Rattus norvegicus: one gene and its partner. Each later gene encodes a partner of the first gene's protein in a complex. Links are inferred from orthologs where the notes say so. Each region holds a gene or a part of one and is shown in the gene's direction. Other genes may lie near its edges.

Region 1 (3,374 bases):
GTGCCCGAGGGCTGGTGGGGGAGTGGAGGCGGACTAGCAGCACAGCCTGTAGCAGGTGGAAGGTGGCAGTTCCCGCACATACTCGATACACAGCCCCAGAACCACTGAGCACTGGACAGTCAGAGTTGCCGAACAGGTGGGCACATAGCACTGAGGGCATCTGGATCTGCAGGGAGTTTGGTTGTGAGAAAAGTAAGGGCAAGCCATAATGCATGGACAGGTCCCAACTTTCCCCTGCTAGGTTGACTCCTTTGCTTCCTGTTCCCAATCAAAATCTTAACAGGTTTTTTTTCCTCATGTTGCAACCCCTGCCCACTTACCCCATGTGCTTTGCCCCAGACCCTTTCTACCACTGTCTTCGAAAGTAGGAGGCAGCAGATTGCTGAGGCTCCCATGTGGAGAAGGATGTAGAACAGGCGGCTACAAGTAGACTCGGTCAGAGAGTGGCAGCCACTGGTCCAAGAAACAGGCCCACAGCAGGACACCTGGGGATAGAGCAGATAGATGTAGGAAGCAATGGGGAGTTTTTCAAAGGGTTAACCAAAGGTCAAATTCCCAAACCCTCCATCCCACTGTCTGGTTATGAGCCACGTAGGATTACCTTCCACAGAGAACTAGTAAGGTTTTCATTGCAAGAACTTTAAACTTCAGTGTATGCATGAACCACTTACTTTTTCCTAATGATCTATGGTTGGGATGAGAGGTTTACCGATTACCCAGGCAAAGAACCAGGTTTCTGTCCCGAACTCCTAGTTTTTTAGCTATCTTTTGCTTAAGATATAAGCAAAGATCTCTTCAAGTCTCTTCCCAAATGTCATCTCACCTGATAGAAGGGGGTTTTCACTACGACATCGCTGACTCCACCGTGCTGCTGTGCAAAGCCCTGGGTGGTGCTACGGCCTGTGATGTCTTTTGCACCCATCAATTTTGGCCCAGAGGTTAGATCCTGTATTGGAAAAACTGATGAGGGACAGCAGCTTCTCAGGATTTTCACCCATTGGACAGTCGCTTTGCTGGCCTAATCATCCGTCTTAAGGCAGCAGCATGGGTTTTTCATAAAATGAATACAGATCACCGGGAAGTGGTAGATGCAAATACTCTTGTGAAGATGCCTTCACAGAGCTTCGGACTGTTTTCTAAGATTAGGAGCAGTTGGCCTATCTGGTCTGGGGATTAGGTTTTTTTTTTTAATTGGTTTAGGATTAGCCACCTTGATTGGACAGAATTCCTTGTGTGTGTGTCTGTGTGAAGGGATTGTTTTTAGGAACAGTGAGTTTGACTGGTGTGGGTAGTGAACAGACAGTCGAAGGAGACTGCAGAAAGCAAGCTGGAGAGGAAGTCAAAAGCGAACCTCTTTCCTAGCTGAAGCTTCTCAAGACAGGCACAAAGGTGTGGTCCAGCCCCTACCCCGCCCCTTATCTGGGCGGAAGCTGAGCGTTGCCGGAAGTTGTGAAGCGGCAGCCTATTGCGGCGGCGCGGTGAGATCGAAATGGCGACCGAGGGAGACGTGGAGCTCGAGTTAGAGACTGAGACCAGCGGCCCTGAGCGGCCTCCCGAGAAGCCAAGGAAACATGACAGTGGTGCTGCTGACCTAGAGCGGGTTACTGACTATGCGGAGGAGAAAGAGATCCAGAGTTCGAATCTTGAGACGGTGAGGTTGGCTGGGAGCTTGTATGAGAGGGGTTGAGAATGGGGCGGGAGTGAGGAGAGACTGACTGGTTTTGCTGCTCACCGGGGCTCCGGGACCCCTGATAGTCATAGTGGGATTTGGCAGTAGGGCGAGGCTAAGCGACAGCACTCAACCAGTCTGCGGTTTACTTAAGAATTTGATAAAAATGGGACCTAAATGTATCTCAAGGGCACGGAATGAAGCGTAGTCTTTTGGTCTTGAGAAAACTAGTAGTTGTGAATACCTGAAAAGCCACGTGGCTTTTATTTGTGGTGTTGTGTTTTAGATGGGAAAATTTGGGTCGCATGGTGGTAGGTAATTAGACTTGTGTTTTCTACAGGCTATGTCCGTCATTGGAGACAGACGGTCCAGGGAGCAAAAGGCCAAACAGGAGCGGTAAGTTTAAAGCCAGCGCTACCAGTAGGTCCTCCTTCTCCAGGGGGGGAAAGTTTTAATCTTTAGCCAACTCCTAAAGATCTAGGGGTTACAACTTTGTTGTTAGTGGAAGGAAAGGTTCCTGGATATCTTAATGTAAAACTTCCAGGGGCGCGTTTATTTGCTATTTTCAGTCAACCTGTTCTACTCATTTTCAGTGTGTACCTGTGAGTGTTCCTTCTGGGAGTTTATAGCAGAGGCAGAGAATGAAAACAAATGTATATATTTACAGGGAGAAGGAACTGGCGAAGGTCACTATCAAGAAGGAAGATCTGGAGTTGATAGTGAGTAGTAATGCTTTAATGGATTCACAAGAGAAGTTCTACCCACGCTGGGTTCCTTAAACAAGTGGAGCCAAAGTTTGTTGTAAAATTTATGCCTGAGAAGAGGCTTCAGTGACGTGATTTTCCCTCTTGCAGATGACAGAAATGGAGATCTCTCGAGCAGCAGCCGAAAGGAGCTTGAGGGAACACATGGGCAATGTGGTGGAGGCTCTTATTGCCCTAACCAACTGATAAAGTGTGTTTAGACATTCTGGACTGATTTACGGAAATAAAGTGTTCTGTTTTGCTGTTTTTTTTTTTTTTTTTTTTCCAGTTTTATCCCAGATCAAATGCATTATATATCCTATTTTATTGTCAGTTTCTATGTTGGACCTTGATGAAACCGTATGAACAATCAGTGTAAAGAAGTACCTAATGTTCAAATACAGGCTCTGTTTTTATTACCCTTATTCTGTGTGTGTGTCTAGGCACTCTCCTGCCATAGTGTTTCTACCATATGGGAATGGAATTCAAGTGCCCTTTTTCACTAGGTTATCTCCCCAGCTCTAAGCAGCAGATTCCAGGTGGTATGTGAGTTTCTCTCATCTGACTAGCTCGCTCTTGCCAATATAGAGTACATTTGGATCCTCTGCAAAAGATCCACATGCATGTTTCTAGGATAGCTTATGCTATCTGTTTTTCTCAGATCGGTTCTTTCTGTATAAGCCAGGCTGTTTTCAAGCTCAGATCCCCTCCCTAACTTGAGAGCTGCTTCATTCAGCTACCCTTACCAGCTCTTCAAGGCTATGTTAGGAATAGCGAGACTAGCTCCTGTTTATAAGCAACTGGAATAAACATTCAGGTTCTAGAAAGGGAAACATCATTTATTAAAATGTTGGATCAGGGCTGGAGCTATGACTCAGTAAGTACCTGCCTCAAAAACAAAATGAGTTTGGATTTCCACTAATGCCCTAAAAACCCAGGAGTGGTGGGATGCTCCTGTAACC
Region 2 (3,015 bases), on another chromosome or scaffold:
AGGACTCTGGACATGACCATCTCTATGAAGAGAGGACTTAGTAGTACCTAGTGCCACTTGAAAGTGAGGCTCGAATAGACTAACTTGAGGAACCACTGAGCCACACTAGACTTTGAGGGGGTCCAGTGAAGATGACACCATTGGAACAGGATGGTGGTCTTCAGCTTTTCTGGGTTCAACATCCATATTCATGGAGGGACTTTTGACCTAGTTAAGATGCCTCTGTGGCAGGAACTGCTTTACCTGCTAAGTCAGCAGTTCCCAGCTGGGTATGGTAGTACATGTCTCTTAATCTCTGCACTCAAAGTGGAGGACTGTGGGTTGCAGTCCCAGCATAGGGAGTTCCAGGTTAGTCTCAACCACATAGCAAGACCCTGTCTCAAAAGATGGGTGCTGAGGAGATAGCTTAATTGTGAGGACTTGTGTTTGATGCCTGGCACTCATGTATAAAAGCCACATACAGTGCCCTGTACCTATTATCCTAGTGCTGAAGAGGTTAAGACAAGAGAATCCCTAGGGTTCACTAATCAACAAGCCTAGTTGAATGGACAAGTTCCAGATTCAGTAAGAGACCCTATTTTGAAAAAAATAAGATGGAAAGCAACTGAGGAAGTTACCCAGCATGTATCCCTAAAGACTGGCAAGGAACCTTCCTAGGTCATCAACGGGTTTCTCTTCCAGTGTCAGGGATACTTAATTGTGCACACACACCTCCCTCCCCTCATCCATCTGGTGAGTAACCAGGTTGTCTATGATGACCATCTACATGCAGGTACAGTGTCCCTCTTTCCTAGCAGAGGAACTATGTGTTCAGTAAATAACAGGGAGCAGGTCAGGGAGAGGAAGGCAGAATTAAGGACTTCAACTCAATACACAAGTCCTTGATGGTTGGGCTAGGGACAAAGTGGTAGCAAGTCTAGGAATCAGAAGTGCCCTGGATGCTACATGCTATTTGGCTTTACTTGAAGAGCAGAGAAAACTATCATAGCTGTTGAACAAGAATCCAGTCAAATGAAAAACAAAAAGGAGAAACCCATTTACACTGGCTTTTTGCCTCTACAAAGGTCCTACAGGGGGAGATGACATTTACCCCAGTAGCCTAAGAACCTGGAGAATTTGCCCCTAGGCATGTGTCTTGATCCTACCCCCAGGATCAGCGAAGTGGAGCCCAAATACTATGCAGATGGGGAAGATGCATATGCAATGAAGCGGGACCTCACGCAGATGGCTGATGAGGTAAGAGTTCAGCCAGGCCAGGGCAGCAATTCCAGCAGTAGAGGAGATTCTGTAATTGGGAAAGGTGTCTATTTTCAGTGAGACCACAGAAAGTACAGATGTCAAAGAGCTGTGAGACAGAGTGAGGCAGTGGCGACTAGAGGCAAGACCGAGACTGAGTGTCAGCTTTTGTGGTTGTAAAGCTAGGAATCAGAGCCCCTCTTTCCCTTACTCCCTAAGCTGTCAAGTCAGGGCATGGCCTTCATTGACTGTAAAGGAGGCCATGGGATGCTTTCTGGGGAAGAAGTCTGGAGATGGGTGGAATAGGAGAGACAGTAGGAAGATTTTTTTTTTAACAGAGGAATTGGGACTACTATGGTTGGGGGCAGCCTGCTCAGATCTAGGATTAAACTGGGCTAGGGAGAAAGGGTCTCTCTGACCAAGCCTCCTGGAAAGGCACTGCTCTGTCTTGGGGGCTTCCCAGCAGCGTATTTGAGGGCAATAGAACTCATGTCATTTTACAGATGAAGCAGGCTTAGGACAGAGGTAGGATTGAACTACATTTCTACCCAGTCCTATTTCCTGCCTTGGCCCTACCACTTCTCACTGTGTCCCTTCCCCCAGCCAGCCCCAGGGCCTGGCTCCTCTTGTCTCCTGTCTGGAGACTTAGGCCCTGTCTCTTTCCACCCGCTTCCCTCTGGGCTCCCGGCGGCAGCTGAGGCGGCACCTGGAGCTGAAGGAAAAGGGCAGGCACATGGTGCTGTCGGCCATGGAGAACAAGGCGGAGAACAAAGGCAACGTGCTTCTGAGCTCAGGAGAGGCCTGTCGTGAGGAGAAGGGCCTGACTGCTGAGGATAGTGGTGGGGACAGCAAGGACCTCAGTGAGGTCAGTGAGACCACAGAAAGCACAGATGTCAAAGACAGCTCAGAGGCCTCTGATTCTGCCTCCTAGAACCTGCCCTACCTGGTCCCAACCTCACCCCATGTGCTTTTTACAATAAATGTCACCCAGTGGCCTTGGGAAATTTGTGAATGTGCATAGTGGGGTATGCTTTTTTTCCAGCTCCTATATGGCAGGGATACTATCTTCACAGCCCAGAGCGTACTGAGCTCACAAGTCAAATGTTTGAGGATGGGACCCCAATCTGGCTTCCTTCAACAACTGAGTTGGAGTTGGCAGATAAACTGTCTTGGGTGCCATATTCTCATGTCACTTTCCTGGCCTTCTACAGATCTCTGTAACATCTTTAGTAATTTTCTAGGGCTGAACAAAATGATTTCTTGGGTTTTCTATTCAGCCTCACATTTCAGAGGCAGCTCCCCTACCTTGATGTTCTTTGCTGCATTGCTTTACCCTCTCAGCCCTTTACTCCTAGTCATACTTGCTCTCTCATCAGTAGGAGCTCCAGTTTATACCTCCTGGACCCCAAGTGCTTAAGTCCAACTCCTCTTTGCACTTATCTGGAGAGATCCTAGCTGGATCCTGGCCTATTCAGTTACCCAGTTGCTCAGGCTTTTCCTATCTGTAGCCTTTTAAAAAATTTTTTTGTGAAACAGGATCTCTTACTTAGCCCAAGCTGGCCTGGAACTCATTATGTAGCCCAGGCTGGCCTCAAACCTATGCCAATCCTGCCTCAGACTCTAACGTGCTGGGATTACAGGCGTGAACCACTCCTCCATTAATATTTTATATTTGCTGTGAGGCAGTGGTGGCACACTCCTTTAATCCCAGCACTTGGGAGGCAGAGGCAGGTGGATCTGTCTTTTAAGCTCCAAACTAGCCTGGTCTACAAAATGAGT

Evidence for each region.
Region 2: the proteins of Hypk (region 1) and Naa10 are in contact, whole or in part, in a crystal structure (PDB 6C95), measured with the Homo sapiens proteins. The link is inferred for Rattus norvegicus from reciprocal best matches to the Homo sapiens genes HYPK and NAA10. Residues at the interface, in NP_057484.4 of Homo sapiens: Lys27, His28, Ser30, Gly31, Asp34, Leu35, Arg37, Val38; in NP_003482.1 of Homo sapiens: Glu24, Tyr26, Lys29, Tyr30, Tyr33, Lys59, Glu134, Lys136, Tyr137.

Annotation. Positions count from the first base shown.
Region 1 is NC_086021.1:128,887,253-128,890,626, forward strand, and holds Hypk (huntingtin-interacting protein K), read left to right. Parts: upstream 1-1,464; 5' UTR 1,465-1,489; coding exon 1,490-1,651; intron 1,652-2,009; coding exon 2,010-2,065; intron 2,066-2,336; coding exon 2,337-2,388; coding exon of another isoform or gene 2,389-2,396; intron 2,397-2,523; coding exon 2,524-2,619; 3' UTR 2,620-2,837; downstream 2,838-3,374. Other genes in the region: Serinc4 (serine incorporator 4), read right to left, coding at 1-166, 321-485, 824-922. UniProt on the Homo sapiens protein: Component of several N-terminal acetyltransferase complexes. Inhibits the N-terminal acetylation activity of the N-terminal acetyltransferase NAA10-NAA15 complex (also called the NatA complex).
Region 2 is NC_086039.1:156,806,617-156,809,631, reverse strand, and holds the end of Naa10 (N-alpha-acetyltransferase 10), read left to right. Parts: intron 1-1,064; coding exon of another isoform or gene 1,065-1,083; exon of another isoform or gene 1,084-1,098; intron 1,099-1,126; coding exon of another isoform or gene 1,127-1,139; exon of another isoform or gene 1,140-1,151; coding exon 1,152-1,236; intron 1,237-1,839; coding exon of another isoform or gene 1,840-1,930; coding exon 1,931-2,167; 3' UTR 2,168-2,254; downstream 2,255-3,015. UniProt on the Homo sapiens protein: Catalytic subunit of N-terminal acetyltransferase complexes which display alpha (N-terminal) acetyltransferase activity. Acetylates amino termini that are devoid of initiator methionine.